3 linked regions of the Arabidopsis thaliana genome follow. The protein of the gene in region 2 interacts with the protein of the main gene of each other region in a biochemical or structural test. Each region holds a gene or a part of one and is shown on either strand. Other genes may lie near its edges.

What was found.
Region 1: of the proteins of ATMPK8 (region 2) and TT2, one has a biochemical effect on the other in vitro, tested with the Arabidopsis thaliana proteins (one large-scale study listed by BioGRID).
Region 3: of the proteins of ATMPK8 (region 2) and AGL49, one has a biochemical effect on the other in vitro, tested with the Arabidopsis thaliana proteins (one large-scale study listed by BioGRID).

Annotation. Positions count from the first base shown.
Region 1 is NC_003076.8:13,723,747-13,728,971, reverse strand, and holds TT2 (Duplicated homeodomain-like superfamily protein), read right to left. Parts: upstream 2,230-5,225; 5' UTR 2,166-2,229; coding exon of another isoform or gene 2,102-2,165; coding exon 1,824-2,101; intron 1,751-1,823; coding exon 1,243-1,750; 3' UTR 1,011-1,242; downstream 1-1,010. UniProt on the Arabidopsis thaliana protein: Transcription activator, when associated with BHLH2/EGL3/MYC146, BHLH12/MYC1, or BHLH42/TT8. Involved in the control of flavonoid late metabolism in developing siliques.
Region 2 is NC_003070.9:6,242,757-6,249,848, reverse strand, and holds ATMPK8 (Protein kinase superfamily protein), read left to right. Parts: upstream 1-2,036; 5' UTR 2,037-2,183; exon of another isoform or gene 2,184-2,257; 5' UTR 2,258-2,266; coding exon 2,267-2,533; intron 2,534-2,760; coding exon 2,761-3,163; intron 3,164-3,255; coding exon 3,256-3,383; intron 3,384-3,485; coding exon 3,486-3,545; intron 3,546-3,703; coding exon 3,704-3,853; intron 3,854-3,965; coding exon 3,966-4,121; intron 4,122-4,212; coding exon 4,213-4,350; intron 4,351-4,464; coding exon 4,465-4,538; intron 4,539-4,625; coding exon 4,626-4,742; intron 4,743-4,832; coding exon 4,833-5,031; intron 5,032-5,130; coding exon 5,131-5,208; 3' UTR 5,209-5,551; downstream 5,552-7,092. Other genes in the region: AT1G18160 (Protein kinase superfamily protein), read right to left, coding at 1-78, 235-723. UniProt on the Arabidopsis thaliana protein: MKK3-MPK8 and CAMs-MPK8 modules negatively regulates ROS accumulation through controlling expression of the RBOHD gene during wounding.
Region 3 is NC_003070.9:22,117,964-22,122,628, forward strand, and holds AGL49 (AGAMOUS-like 49), read right to left. Parts: upstream 1,967-4,665; coding exon 1,112-1,966; 3' UTR 1,011-1,111; downstream 1-1,010. Other genes in the region: UMAMIT35 (Nodulin MtN21 /EamA-like transporter family protein), read right to left, coding at 3,587-3,755, 4,094-4,245, 4,342-4,500. UniProt on the Arabidopsis thaliana protein: Probable transcription factor that may function in the maintenance of the proper function of the central cell in pollen tube attraction.

The DNA.
Region 1 (5,225 bases), on a different chromosome or scaffold from region 2:
GGTCAATCTCTTGATTTTTAATATATTACAATAAGAATATTTAAAAATAACAAAATAATATTTAATTTTACGGAATGAAGTTATCTGGTGGAACGAGTTTGGGTTGATACTCATACGGGACGATAATCTACGAGTGTAATCTTAGAATTAACAATTTTAACACAATTATACAATCTTAAACACTAAACAAAAGAAACAATATTTACAAAACAACTATAACCTAAAATTCAAATTTTTAGTTACAAAAAAATCGAACAACGGTGTACAGCGGAGTAAAGTTTACATTATATCATCTAATTGATCAAATTTCAAACAAAAACAATTCATTTGTATATACATCAAACTAACAAAAATACACAGATTTTCCAAATATCTCTATATTATTCCGCAAATCAAAACAAATCTAACATTCGATTTACTATGCAAAACACAAATGAAATATAAATAATATAAATTAATAAAAAAAATTTAGTTATTATATCATAAATAACACTATACACTTTTCTATGCACATTATAATTTATACACTACAATATCTTTCACTAAAAATGTATTCTAATACATTTCTTAAAATATGAAACCCCGCACGTATGTGCGGGTCAGAATCTAGTTTCCTTTAAAATACAAACACTTTTTGATGTCCAATAAAATACATGATTTTTTAGTATCCTTAAAATACATAAACTTCTAAATTGTACCCATAAAATACAGGAGATAGGGGGAAAATCCGGAATATTCCTTTGTTTTGTTTTTCAAATATGTACTGGCACATGACTTAGAACAACCATGCATCTAGTATTTATTTATACGATGATTCCAAAAATGAGAAGAACAAATTCCTTACATTAATGACTATGCCTGCCTATAAATAGACTATACATGTATATTCTAGTAATATTTCGTAATAACAAAATTGTAAAGTTGATTCGTATTACCAATAATTCACAAGTAGAATTTATAGGTTGGGTGGTTAAGCGGTGGTTAGGTTATAATAAAAGCTCTATCATTTGCTCATACATAAATTTACAAAATCTATCAAAAATATTTATGTCGTACGTATTTGCAATAATAAAAAATTATTAGTTAAAGACAAAACCCATTTCTATAACATGTGGATCGTATAATTATTTGTATTTCTTGGTCTCCTTAGTAAGTTAGTAATTAGAAGCGTTCAGACAAATACAGATATACTTTTGTCCGTATAGAGAAATATGTATTAACGTAGGTTTTTGCAATATAGGCTCAACAAGTGAAGTCTCGGAGCCAATCTTCATCGTCGCCACGATGATGACAAGAAGTGAAAGGTCTATTGAGATCGAGATTACCTTGAGCAGGAACCAACTCTCCCAAAATCTCGTTAGATGAAACAAGAGATGTAACGTTTCCACAGTCCAAACCATCAAAATCCATCAAATCCGGGAAGTGAAACTCCGAATGGATCCTATCGAAATCGAATTCGAGATCTCCCATCAACGAAGATCCACCTTGATCCATCTCTTGTTCTTTCAGAGGTAGTGGACTAGTACTACTCTTCTTCTGAAGAGAGAGATCCGAGAAGAGAAGAGTCTTTGAGCACCTAATCGCCTTTGTACGTATAACACATACATTATTCTCGTTGTTCGTCGAATGTTTTATACGTTTTGGTTGCTTGGTTTGAGTTTTGGGAAGTCTTTTGCGGAGGTTTGAGTTCCAATGATTCTTTATTTCATTGTCTGTTCGGCCTGGAAGCCTCCCAGCTATCAACGACCATCTGCTTTAATTATAATGTCACATAACAAATAACTTTACTACAAAAAGAAAATTCTATGTGGTTAGTGAAAAACCTGTTTCCAAGAAGATTATGGAGACGGATTATGAGTTCTTCTTCATCAGATGAGATGTTACCGCGCTTTATCCCCGGTCTTAGGTAGTTCTTCCACCGAAGTCTACAGCTTTTGCCACACCTCTTGAGACCTTTTATGTGTGCCAAGACAATTATTGTACGTAGAAGATATAAAGACGGATCGGTAGATAGAGAGATTAGTACCAGCTTGGTTAGGGAGAGTGCTCCATTTGCCTTCGCCGTGAGTGGTGATGTAATCTCTAAGGATCTTGTCTTCATGATCAGTCCAAGCTCCTCTGTTTAACTCTTCTCTCCTCACACTAGTAGTTGCTCTCTTTCCCATTCTCACTTTTCTCTCTCTTGTGGTTGTGTGGTTGGTACAATTGTCTTTAGTGTTGTGTTGAGAATAGATTCTGTTTTTGTGTTTAGCTGAGTATCTTTATAGGGGAGTTGTTGATATGTCCGTACATCAGTCGCTTTCTAAAACCTCTGTCATACACACTTTGAAATTTTAATGCTTTCTTCACCTGGTAATAATTAGCTTTGGTGAGGTTAATTTTACCGAATTTTAACATCTACAAAGAGTTTTTCTAAGCCAAGTGTGAATTTAGGCCTGGGAGTTCGGCAAATCGGTTTAATCGGGTCGGGTTATTCGGTTTTAGGGAATTTCGGTTTTTGGAAATGCTTCCGAATTAAACCGAATTTAATTTCGGTTCGGTTCGGTCGGGACTCGGGTTTTTCAGGTCGGTTATCTAGATTTATTTAACTTCCGAAATAAAACTGAAAATTTTCATATTCGGTTTATTTGAACCGAATTAGACATGTATCAAATACGGGAAAAGGGTATTTTCATACCCGTACTATTTTCTGAGTGTATTTTCGTATCCAAAAAAATTTGTTGGGTATTTTCATATATTAACCGCATATTTATTTGAATTTCATACCTCAACTTAAGAAAAAGTACAAAATTCAGAGTCAAAGTAACGGGTGTTAGTCAACTCCGTGAAGATGATAAGTCAGCAGACACATGGAAAATATGTGTCTATAACGACGTCGTTTTACGTTATGAACGTTTAAAATGTTAAATTTGTTGGGTAGTTTCATATCTAAACCGCATATTTATTTTAATTTAAAAAAAAGATTGCTAGGTAAACAAAGTATAAGAGAATACATGGTCACACATACCTACTATACATTGTATATCCAGCTACACGAAGTAGACACGAAGTAGATGTATTACATGACCACATATATGAAGTATAGGACGTCATGTGGTTAACACCATTGACATACAATTCCGGTAAACCGGTCAGTTGACTCAGGCTTTGACTAGTGTTGACCGGCGTTGACCAACAAAAAAATTTAAAATTATTTTTAATACTCAAAAATACGAAAATATTTTTTTTCTTTTATATATTCAAAAACATATTCTATATTTCGTAAAAATATATTTGTATTTTCAATGCATTAAATCTTATAATAATTAGTTTTATTTTTAATTTCAAAACTAAACTAAAACTAGAATAAAAATCATTATTAAACTTTAGATTAAAGAGTCATATACTCAATTGTATTAGGAAGCAATATGAAATTGAGTATATGACTCTTTAATCTAAAGTTTGCATGGTAAAGAAAATTATAATATTTTTTATATACTCTTTAGTCTAAATTTATTTTTGTATACTATGTAGTTCCTTTTGTAACAAATATTATTAAGAAAAGTTCTCGTAGTAACACATAAACAACCAAAAACTTGCAATTTTTCTTTTTAATATATAAAAAGATAGAAAATCTAACAATGTTGATTTCAGCAAAAAAGTTTTTAAAATAAAATTCATTTGTATTACGTTTTATTCTAATAATTTTTGTGGTTGATTTTTTTTTATAAAAAATATTGTATAGAAATAATTGAAGTGTTTTAATTGACACTATAAAAATAAGCAATTTCCTTACTTAATTAACTATAATAATATTTTCCTGTTTTCATTTAAAATTTAAAATTTAATAATGATTTTTAATCTATTTTTAGTTAAATTTTGATTTTTTTTGTAAAACTAATTTTTCTAAGATTTAATGCATTGAAATATAGAATATGTTTTTGAATATACAAAACCAAAAAAAAAATATTTTGTATTTTTGAATATTTAAAATAATTTAAAAGATTTTTTTGAATTTTTTTGTTGGTCAACGCCGGTCAACCCTAGTCAACGCCGGAGTCAACTGACCGGTTTATCGGAATTGTATGTCTATGGTGTTAACCACATGACGTCCTATACTTTGTATATGTGGTCATACAATACATTTACTTCGTGTAGTTTGAATTTACTTTGACATTGTTTTGCGTTATGAACATTGAAAATGTTCGAAATTGTTAGATATTAATGATTCCATGTTGCGATAGAATATCGATAATGTTAGATATTAACAAATATATAATCTGGATGAAATGGTTAGATATTCTGTTAAATGTCTTTAAAGACGTGGGTTCGAATCCTGCATGTTGCAAATTTTTTAACATTTAAAACGTTCATAACGCAAAACAACGTCGTTTTAGACACATCATAATTCACGTGTCTGTTGACTCAACATTTTTCACGGAGTTGACTAACACCCGTTAGTTTGACTATGAATTTTGCACTTTTTCTTAAGTTGAGGTAGGAAATTCAAATAAATATGTGGTTTAGGTATTAAAATACCTAACAAATTTAACATTTTAAACGTTCATAACTCAAAACGATGTCGTTTTAGACACATCAGATTCCACGTGTCTGCTGACTCAGCATCTTTACGGAGTTGACTAACACTCGTTAGTTTGACTCTGAATTTTGCACTTTTTCTTAAGTTGAGGTATATACAACAACAATATATGATATAGTGATATAAGGTATGTAGTTATGTTATTTATGTTTTTGGAAACTTGGCTAACTTAATTGTAACAAATAATTCTTTATTCTATATATTCTTTCGTCATCTAGTACACCAACTACATCCTAATATGTTAGTAATTTAAGTCAACACTTTAGATCTCATCCCTTGCATATAGCCATATCGAGTCTCATGTTTTTTTTTTTTGGTATTTTTAACGTCTCGAATGACCATTACGTGAAAAACAATTGTATGTCAATGTTACGAAGTTATTAAAACGCACCAAAATGAAGAAAAAGAAAGTCATATGATAAATCATATTTACGGAACGTAATAATTAGAAAATATCCAAGTAAAATTACGTTCTAGTCCATTATGCATAAAAATCTATTTCAATAGAACTTGTATGAAACCAGATTCATTAACCAACTAAAAAACATTGTCTTGCCAAACAAGAAACAATTGATAAATAAATATAAAAGAAAACTCAAAAGTAATAATCATGTAGAGCAGATTCTTAATCAAACCAAAACGTTCT
Region 2 (7,092 bases):
GGAAGATTCATTCATTACTCCACACAGGTCATAGAAACCATCCACAATCTTGTCATCATAGCCAAGACAGTTATAATTCTGCAAAATTCCAGATGATGTAAAATTGGTTAGAAGAGACAGAAAAGAGTTATAAACTTATAATCAACTTAACACATTTTGTTTCAAGCATAGTCTATTGTCGCTTAAGTGAATTGGAAATTTGTTTCTATGTCTAGCAATGAGTTAAAAACTCACCCAATATCTATATGCCATGAGTTCAGCTGGAGTATTCTCGGGAGCAGAAGGACGAGAACCTAAGCTGAACTGCTTCATAGCCTCAATCTGAGCAGCTTCAGGATCCTCCCTAGCACTTAACTCTAGAGCCAACTGTATCTGATATTCTTCTTCAACTTCTGGATCCTTGGAATTACTACTAGAACCCAAACCCTGCATCCCAGATTCCGACCCAACGGGACCACCATGTTCCATGGTAGTGTCATCCTCTTTGCTATTGGTGGCATTGGAAGAAGAAGGGCTTTTCCTGTGAGTAACAGAGCTTAACCAATTTGATAAACCCAAAAAGGGTTTGAATTCAGAGTTATCTTGAGACCTCAATGAATCAGAAGGAGATGGTTCTGCATCACTAGACTTATTGCTTCTGTTAGAGACTGAACCTTCACCATCGTCTCGTTGATTGGGCGTGATACGAAGCTTTTTGAGAAATTTCTTCATGTTCATCTTCATACTCCAAATGTTAGAGCAGCGAACATCGACCCGAAAACTCCTTCATCCCTCGAATACACAGAAAAACGAGAACTTTGTGCTAAAACCCTAATTCCTTGGTACCACGACCCGGAGATCTGGAACTCCGTCCAGATCAACGGCTCGTCAAAATCTAATAACTGCAGCAAAAGAATTCTCGAGAAAACCTTAAATCGGAATCCAAATCAAGTAGCAAGACTCTCAATGGAGATCAGATTTCGATTTCAAGAAAATACTTTTTTTTTTTATCTCCGGAGCTGATCAAAAACCCAATAAGAGAAAGTTTGGAGCTTTTTTCTCAGCAAGTAAGCGAAGCCTCTTCCTTCTCTTTGACTCTCTCCTGAATTGAGAAAGTCCACAAAGACGCCACTTTCTCTCTCTTAAAGTCCGACAAAAGAAAATCAACTAAAAAAAACTTACGTAAAACAGAGTAGAGTAGATAGATAGATACGAGTATAGTAGAGGATGAAGAGTGGATTTTTGAGCTGGAGAGAATTGAATTTTGTTTTGCTTTTTTTTGCTACTGTAATTAAAAAATTACTCTATTTTTTGTACAATCAGTCAAAGCTTAATGCAAATATAGAGCTATTTAAAAACTTACCAATTCATTTTTAATGCAAATATATCATGCAAAACCGTACATTTTGTTAAAAAAAATAAGAAATGATAAATCGCAGAATTGTTTACGATCGTGCTTTCCATATTCAATATTCCTTCGCGTATCTGGATTTGTTTGATATCATTTATTCAAATAAAATTTTGTCTTTTTGGCTGAAAAAATGCTTCGCTCACCACCTTATGCATTATCCTCCCATGACATATCACATATATCATCAAGCGTATTATTCACTAAAAAATGCTTAGATTACGCTACTGTCGGATTCATTTATGACCCAATAACTATGATGTGCTCGAACCGCAACAGACTCCTGGACCTGCTCAGCTCATGATGAAATATATGTTCATATCATCAACGCGACCGAACGAGCAAGGCGTTTTTACTCTCTCTTTTTTTGTGTCTCAGATTCATAATTAGACTTTTAATTCCGGTTTGTAATGTAACATCTAACATCTTCTTAATTTCGAACCTTGTCCGGTTGAGTTTAATCCGTTTAGTGATTGAACGAAAATACATTTATTGTATGGGCCGCTTTGTAGGCCCATATACTCAATAAATGCATATGCCCGAATCAGGTTATCATTAACCGGTATAGACAAACCGGGTCGTCGAAATATTCCAAAGGTTTAAATATTTTGTTCTTCTCCCTCCACTCACTCTCTCTAATAATCAAGCAGGGGAAAAAAATAAATATCTGAGCATAAATAATGAAAAAAACATAAAAAGAAAATTAAAAAAAAAATGAAAAAATAGGAGAAGAACATGGTCTCCAACTCCGAAGGACAAAACCGAGAGACGCGGCGAGAAAGACGGTGACTTGACGGTAATTGTTTGGCTCTCAAGGAATTTCGGATACCCAATTTTGTAAATTACTAATCTTTTTCTTTTCTAATCTAGTAGTGGTCTATGGGTGGTGGTGGGAATCTCGTCGACGGTGTTCGTCGATGGCTTTTTCAGCGACCTTCTTCTTCTTCTTCTTCTTCTTCTTCCAACAATAATAATAATAATCACGAACAACCCATTTTCAATTCTTCTTCTTTCTCTTCTTCCTCTAACCCCAATCATTCCGCTAACTCTGGAGAGCTTATTATTGAAGAAGATCTCGATTTCTCTGGTCTAACGCTTATTAACGTTCCTAAACGTAATCATTTACCTATGGATCCTCACAAGAAGGTACCTTTCTTCTTCTCCTTCTCTACCCTTTTATGCTATTTGCTCTTAGATGTTGTCTTTTGATTGAGATTGAAGAGACTTGTTTTGTTCTCTTAATGTTCTGTGTTATTGCATTTGCTTCCACAAAAGGATAAAGTTTCAGTTTTGTGTTTCGTTTGATTGATCTTATTGTCTTGATCCATCATTTTGGTCAATTTTAAGTATGAATCATGAATAAAATTCTTCAGGGTGAAACTGAATTCTTCACGGAGTATGGAGAAGCTAACAGGTATCAGATTCAAGAGGTTGTTGGCAAAGGAAGTTATGGTGTTGTGGCTTCTGCTGTTGACTCACACACTGGAGAGAGAGTTGCGATCAAGAAGATCAACGATGTGTTTGAGCATGTCTCCGATGCTACTAGGATTCTCAGAGAGATCAAATTGCTTCGGTTGCTTCGTCATCCTGATGTTGTGGAGATTAAACACATCATGTTACCTCCTTCTCGCAGAGAATTCCGCGATATTTATGTTGTCTTTGAGTTGATGGAATCTGATCTTCATCAAGTGATCAAGGCGAATGATGATTTGACTCCTGAGCATTATCAGTTTTTCTTGTACCAGCTTCTTCGTGGTCTGAAATATGTTCACGCAGGTTAGTTTCTGGTTTTACACATTGGTCTCTTTCGATCCTCATGATTTTTGTTATAGATAATATTGAAACACTTAAGGGTTCTCTGTTTTCAGCTAATGTGTTTCATCGGGATTTGAAACCGAAGAACATTCTAGCTAATGCTGATTGCAAATTGAAGATCTGTGATTTTGGGCTGGCTCGCGTTTCTTTTAACGATGCCCCAACCGCTATATTTTGGACTGTGAGTCATCTAACTCAATGTGAAAGCAAAACTGTTCATTAGGCTTCCTCTTAACTATTTTCAAATGCTTGTGAGCTCATTTCGTTTATATGGATTTTGTAGGATTATGTAGCTACTCGGTGGTATCGTGCCCCTGAACTCTGTGGATCGTTTTTCTCCAAAGTAAGATTCTTTTTCACCAAACCCAACTACTCTTGCTATTTCTCCCTACCAGGAAAATGCTTCTAGTTTTCTATTTTGTAGAATATTGTTGTGTGGTTCTATAGTGTTGTTGAGAAGACCAGCCATCTCAAGCTAAGTCTACTCTTGTTATATTTCAGTATACCCCTGCGATTGATATCTGGAGTGTCGGTTGCATTTTTGCGGAAATGCTTTTGGGTAAGCCTTTGTTTCCCGGGAAAAACGTTGTGCACCAATTGGATCTAATGACTGACTTTCTTGGTACTCCACCTCCTGAGTCAATATCAAGGGTTAGTCACTCAAAACACTTGTTCATATTTTCTGTAGCAAATTTAATGTTCCATACATCATTGAGAGTAATTTAATCCTTGTAATGAGCTTTGCAATCTTGGACTTCTACAGATTAGAAATGAAAAGGCGAGGAGATATCTTAGCAGCATGAGGAAAAAACAACCAGTCCCTTTCTCTCATAAATTCCCTAAAGCTGATCCTTTGGCTCTCCGCCTTCTGGAACGCCTGCTTGCCTTTGATCCGAAAGATCGTGCATCAGCTGAAGATGTAAGTGAGAAGTAAATTTGCTTTACTTTTCCCTTTTGTTTTATACAGAACGAAACTCTTATATTCGTCGTTTTTGATTTTCATATTACAGGCACTAGCTGATCCATATTTCAGTGGTTTGTCAAATTCAGAGCGTGAACCAACAACACAGCCAATTTCAAAGCTTGAATTTGACTTTGAGAGAAAGAAGTTAGTTAAAGATGATGTCAGAGAATTAATTTACCGAGAGGTAACAAACAAACACAAAAGCCTTCTACATATATCCTTTTCTTTAATCTGAATTTGTTTCAATGTTATTCATTGATCCTAACAATCACTTTTCTTTGGATTTTGTAAATATCAGATATTGGAATATCATCCTCAGATGTTGGAGGAATACCTTCGTGGTGGTGATCAGCTTAGCTTTATGTACCCAAGGTTAGCTAATTAACAGTTAACAGAAACTATAAGTCTTGAAAACAGAAAGTTATGAACTCGATAAATCTTTTTGTTGTTTACGCGCAGTGGGGTAGACCGATTTAAAAGGCAATTTGCTCATCTTGAAGAAAATCAAGGTAAACCAGGAGCAGCAGGAGGAGGAAGAAGTACTGCACTTCACAGACATCATGCTTCCTTGCCAAGGTAATGTCTTTCACAGAATCTCTCTATCTCTTCTCTTCTCTTCTCAATCTCCCTCTGAGAGCATTGTGCTTCTCTATGATGATGTTGCAGAGAGAGAGTTCCTGCTCCAAATGGTGAAACTGCAGAAGAAAGCAGTGATGTTGAGAGAAGAGCAGCAGCTGCTGTGGCTTCAACCTTGGAATCCGAGGAAGCAGACAATGGAGGAGGTTACAGTGCTCGTAACCTCATGAAGAGTGCAAGCATCAGCGGTTCTAAATGCATTGGTGTCCAATCTAAAACTGACAAAGAGGTTAGTTAGTAAAGAAAGAAAGAAAGAAAAACAGAAGATCTTGAAAAGGAACATGACGATGAAGTTTGCTTACTGTTGTTCTTTTCTCTTTGTTTGCAGGATACCATAGCTGAGGAAGAAGATAATGAAACAGTTGCAGAGCTTACTGATAAAGTTGCTTCTCTTCACAATTCTTAAAAATGATTTAGTTATTTTTTTTCTTTTCTTTTCTTTTTTCACGAAAGTTTTCTGGTGAAAAGAAATTGGTTTCTCCATTCATCCACATCTATCTTCGTGGTTGGGTTTGATTTGTTGTATTTAATAGTTTTGGGGGTTTGATGAAACTTTAAATAAAAACATCGATCTCCATGTAATTTTTTTGTTTCTCTCTTTTCTTTAAACACTCATATTTTGAAATTATTTATATACTATTCAGTATTCACTTTGCTTCAGTACTTTGGGAGAGTTTGTGTGATTGGTATGATCCGGTCCAGGTCAAACCGGGATATTGGGTCTTATATAATAAATTATATTAACCTGAAGAACATACTCGACTTCTTAAAAGTAAAAAAGATAAGACTAAAAAATTAGCACACATAATAATAATGCTGTGTTAGTTGGCTTTTTAATGACGAAGACTAACCTAATATCTATTATTTATATTCCATGGTCCATCTGAATTGATACCATTCTTGGACTAATCTCATAACGACAAAATAAAATAAATAAAACGACAAAAAGAAGAAGAAAAAAAATGAACAAAATCGGGTTTTTGAAAAAGAGGTCAGAAATAATGGTATGGTCGAGTAAAGTGAGCTCCAGGGAGCTTACTCACCAACTCCAAACTACAGTCTCGATAAGAAAAAGAAACTGCAAAAAGTTGATGTATATATGGCGAACAAAGTCCACAGACGCCAGATTGGTTAAAGCAATTAGGCTACACTGTTTTTACATTATTTAGTAGAAATACTAATTGAATTTGTGCATGTTTAAAAGTGAAAAAAAACTAACATTATACTAATGGATCATGCCGCCAAACTTTGGAATTTGACTTCAAATTATGACCACTACAAATATAAATTAAAGAAAAAGTTGGTTTCATGTAAACTATAGGATCGTAAAGGAAGATTGTCACAAAACTCTTGACTAATAAAATTGGAAGTTAAAATGTCCGAAGAAAAGTTATATTACAAGTCTTTTCTAATCGCCAGTGAAAAGAAAATCGGTTCAAACTACATATTTTTTGTTCTCATAAAACGGTTTGTGGTCTTAAACATGCTGAAGATTCACATCCATTTATAGTTTTATTTTCGACTCCTCTATATCATTGGAGCTCACACATTTTCTTTTTGTTTTCATAGGAATCATTTTGCATTTTAAATCCATGTTAAATTTTTGCAAAGCATCAGTTTATGAGTTGTGTTCTATTTACGAATGAAAAAGGAGACTTGCATTTGTAGTATGTAATTCATATATTTTTTATCAGGTTTAAAACAGTTTGCAATTTCGTCCTATTATTTGTTCTCTTCGATGGCTCGCACCAACCCATGCACAGATCACATCACTTTATCGACCATAAAGTTTCAATGATTTTCCTAATATAAGACTTTTTAAAAGTATTCCATCATACATCTATATATCACTAATGTGGACTTCAAATTTCCATATTATCAGTACGAAGATTTAATAAGCGGAATTAACTACAAAGCCTATAATTCCATTTATATAAACAACATGTTTTGATCTCTGGTTTAAGAAGAGATTATATACTTTCGTCCCATACTTTATTGTTACAGAAACAGATAATGTGAATTTTTTATATATATGGTAACCATAATGCACCAAACGGAAACTCTAACAAATTCTTTTAATAAAAAATTGTTTGCAGATGACGCTTGAACCCAATTATAATATAAGGGAATTTTGGGTTTATTTTCCGACTTTGTAAACACTTCTTAATCACAACAGAAAACGTTAAAAAAGAAAAGGACATTAATTTGGACATATATATCATACACGTTTTTCATGTGAAAGTTAAATTTACCCCACAAATCCTGAATAAATATCTACTAAAGTACACAT
Region 3 (4,665 bases), about 16 Mb from region 2:
TTTGACAAATCATTGCTCTGTGAACATCAGTACTTAAAACTTTTTAGTTTTTGTGTTTTGGCTGAAAAATAGACCAACGGAGTTCCAGAAGAGACGGCAAGTTCTTCAACTAGCTGACGTTAGTCGTCGGTTCGACAGTACTAGCAGTCGCTAATTGATAGTATACTGTATATAGTTTCACAACTAACTGTTATTTTTTGGGGACTTACTGTTAGTTTTGTCTTTAGATAATTTAGAAAAAAAAAAAAAAACTGTTAGCTTTGTCATTGGCAGCTGCTAGTCACTCACCATTAGCTAATATTTTTGCAAGAACGTCTGCCAACTTTTCATTGGTAACTACTAGTCGTCACGTTCTAACAGTTACTTTAGGGAGAACATGTGCCAATTTTTATCTCAAATTTTTTAAAACTTGTGGTAGTGGCCAAATCAGTGGCAATCAAATAAATAGCATATAGAGTAATAATTATATTGCATCGCAAGCCTTGTAGAATTGAAGTTTTGGGGATTTGATTCATGGATATGCTTATGAATTTGATCGTGAACAAAGCTTATATGTAGTTTCATGGGTACTTTATTTTGTGTTTACGTCACAAGTTGATCAGTTGAGTTACTCCACTGAAGTTCGTTCTAATTATGAGAATGCTGATTAGGAATGTTGACTTGGTAAACACGAGGTCGAGGGACAGAAAGACTTGCTGAAGCAAACACTAGATTGACATAAAGAACGTGTCATCCGTCATTAAAAACAAGGCATCTCCAAGACTTGACAGTGAATTAACATCTGAACAAGTATGTATAACTTTCATTCCCTGCTCTAGAAGCTTTAACGAGTTGTGCAATTTAGGTTATGAACTCTTTGTTTCTTGCATGGTTTACAACGTTTTGTTTATCTGATAAGTTGGTGTTGCAGTCAAAATAGGGTTACAGAGAAAGAATAACAGAAAGAAAGGAAAAGTTTGATTAATCAATAATAAACAAGAAAAAAAACTACCAACTTTACAAACATGGATTTGTGTTGGAGCAAACATACAAGTTAAGAGATACTAAAAAATGATCAATCACCGAGAAAAGGTGAAAGAAACATGATTTCACTAACGTAGTCATCAAGTTATCAAATTGAAATCATATCGGAGCTCATCGTTTGGCAAGTATTGGTGGTCATGAGAGGATCGCTAAATGTATGAAGTGGTGGTAGTCTTGAGGCAAACTCCAGATCCCAAACATGATCATCACAAAAATTCCCTAGATTGTAAGTTTGGTAAAGTTCTGCCGCCGCCTCCTGAAGATAATTACCGCCGAAAGTGCCAAGATGATCCATTCCCGTGTAAGCTGCATCTTTTGATTCGTAATTGGAAACATTCTCGTTCAAATTCCTTGACCCGCGGACCACGTAAGCCAACTCGTCAAATACATCACACGAACCCAGCTTCTTATCTGAAACCCTAATTAGATGATCTTCTGACAATATATCCGTCAAATTAGGCTCTATCTTCAACTTGTGATCGGAGATGGCCGAGTTCTCTGAAACCCTTGCACCATCTTTTTCGGAAGAACCCGTGAGCGTCTTCTTAAGAATTTCTATCTTTTGTTCCCTGACTCCAAGTAATTGAGAGTCAAGGTGAAGGAGATGCTTCCTTAACTCCTCACGAGACAAACCCTTGAGATGATGAGGGAAGTCATTGAGATCACATGCATGATTCTTCCTCCTCTCATCACTCAAGGCATTGAACTTGGCCACGATCTCATGTAGGGCTTGTGGGTTATGATCTTGAGACTGAGGCCAAACATGGAGATCGTTGTCGGGACCGTAACAGATGAAACCGACAGAGTTGCCGCAGAGAACAGAGAGCTCTGAGGCTTTCTTCTTAAAGCCTGGAAATCTCTGTTTGAAAAAGCTCTGTTTCTTCCTATGCAAATCACCATCATCATCATCGGACTTGTTAGGTTTCTTCTGACGAGGAGCCATCTTTTGAAAGAGAGAGAGAAGATGAAACTTTGATTAAATCGTGAGAGAGAGATAAAAAGCAGAGAACTTTCGATCGTAATGGGAAGTGCAACGAGAAGGCTATGATGATTCTTTAATATATAGAGACTTAGAAGATTAGGTTTCCTCAATCCCACAACGGTCATAATTTGGTGAAAATGCGTAAAAAATCATATCTAATATGCGCGTCCGAAATCTTGTGAGGTCTTTTCATTAGATCTCGTAGTGATATTTTCCTTTTTTTGCTTCATCCTATTTTATTTAGTTTTTATGAAACGCGTAACTGTATTTTTCCTCAATTAATTGCCAACAAATATTTTATAAATCGACGCAGTCTTCTTAAGTGGTTTTGTCAATTTTATTATTTGGCTTAAGTCAATTATTTTTATTTACCTACATATTTGCTTTAAAAAGTAATAACATTTACACATGGTCTCAATAATTGGATTTGCCCAAAAAAAAAAGGTCTCAATAATTGGACAACACAAAGCAGAACATAAACACAACTGGTCATATACGTTAAACCTTAATTAACTCACAACTCATGTAATTGGTAAAAACCTGAGAGACGATTGATTTTCCCAATTTTTCAATAAGAACACTGCTTTCAGAGATAAGATCCCACAAACCGTCCAACATACTCTTCAAACCCTAGGAATTCTAGAATCGAAATTAAGTTGGATTGATAGAGAAATAGGGTAATTCGAGTCCAACGCCTTCGAAATCAAGAATTCCTCTTACCTAATTTCTCCTTCAATACAACTTATAATTTGGCAACTAATTGAGTGCATAATTACCCTCCAAATGCTTAGAGATAATTTTGTTAGTTATTCTAAGTTAATGACTAAACAAATGTGTCTTTTTAAGAAAAGTTCGTAGAAAAGCTTTTTGGTTAGTCTGTTTCGGGTTTGAATTCATGTCTTCAACCAAACTCTCCACAACTGGTTTGTGTCTGATTCAGCATTCACCTCGGTTTTGGATTTTATTCATTTTTTTTGCAGATGCGGTGGGTGCTGCAAAAAGATGTAGCTAATTGGATGTTAAACAATTTTGACTGTTTTAGTAGCTATATATCAAAAACATTAACCACAATTTGTTTTCATGGTCATTTATGGTTTTTTTTCTATTTGAACTGTTTTTATTGTAGTTTGATTATATCGAATGAGTTTTGGTTGGGTTCAGTGTTTGTGAAAATTCTCTTGGAACTGATATAAATTACTAAATTAGATCAACCGGATCATTCCCGTTTATAGTGAGACGAATGCCAAAGATGGACCTTCAAGTAGTTTCATATAAGTAACAACTATTTACTATTTAGTCCTCATTTGAGGTTGCATATATGATTGCATCGTGAGTTTTATTTGGATAAAAAGTAAAACTTATATTTTTTTCGTTTTATTTTAACTCATAATTTACTTTTAATTTTGATAGACTTTGATACATTCCTCTCATACAAAAAAACGTTACAAGACTTTATATATATATTTGTTTTGCTTCACACACATATGTTTTTTTTTATATATAATTTCTTCGATTTACTTACCCTTAATTTATGTTTAACATAACACAACTAAACACATTAGGCGAACAACCATTTCTGAATTAAACTTGATCAAAATCACCATTCGCGAGCAAAAGTGGAGTTGTCTGTTCATCTGAATCCAATTGATGATTATCGTTTTTCTCCACCGTTTCATTTGGATCATCTTTTTGAACTTGACTCCACATTATCAATAGATATCCAGTTCCTGCTATAGCAGCTCCTAACACACTGTTCACAAGAAGTTCACATTTAACAACCTGAACATATCATATTCAAATCGAAAATTGATATGTAAACTAAAAAAAAAAAAATTGGTTTGAACTTTTTTACTTATTTTAAAATATGAAAAAATCAAAAAGGAAACTAAGGGACAACTTAAATTTTTTATATAACACATTAAGATATGTATATAATAAAATTTGAACAGGAATAAAAGTCATATCAAACATATATGCATATTTGATTTGGTATTAAGCATTTGGGTTAAAAATAAATGAACGCATGTAACTAGAGAATAATTTGAGTCTCTTCGTTGTTTAAATATAACTTTCGAAAATTATATTTACCTTCCATAGTGAAGACTATTGACAAAGAAGCTTGTGCCAAAAATGGAAGCCCAAAGGATCCCAAATGGCTTGAAGAGTGGCACATAATAAGGCCCCTTCATTTTGGAGCACTTCACTTGAACACTTGTTCTGATTATGCTCCCAAATATTCCCTATAAATGAACAATATATATGATTATATATACACATCCTCAGATTACGAAATACATACTATATAGTAATTATAATATATGATCACATAGATATACCGTGGCAATAATGAGATATAGGTCCATGTTAAGTTTGAGTTCCCATGCACTTAGGTCTGGCTCCATGAACGCTGAGAAGATTGCACATTGGAGTGTCCCAGCTAAACTATAGGCAGACACTACTTTCATCACTTGAGGATATTTTTGGACTGTATCCAACTGATATACCGAATAACATAACCCGACCAACAAAAACAAAAAAAATAATTAATAATTAAAACGTGTATGCATTACTTAAGAATCAAGTTAAGACGTGTGTAGATTCATCTACAAATGATAATATTTGTTTTCGAAAATCGATATCTTGAAACGTAATTTTGATTA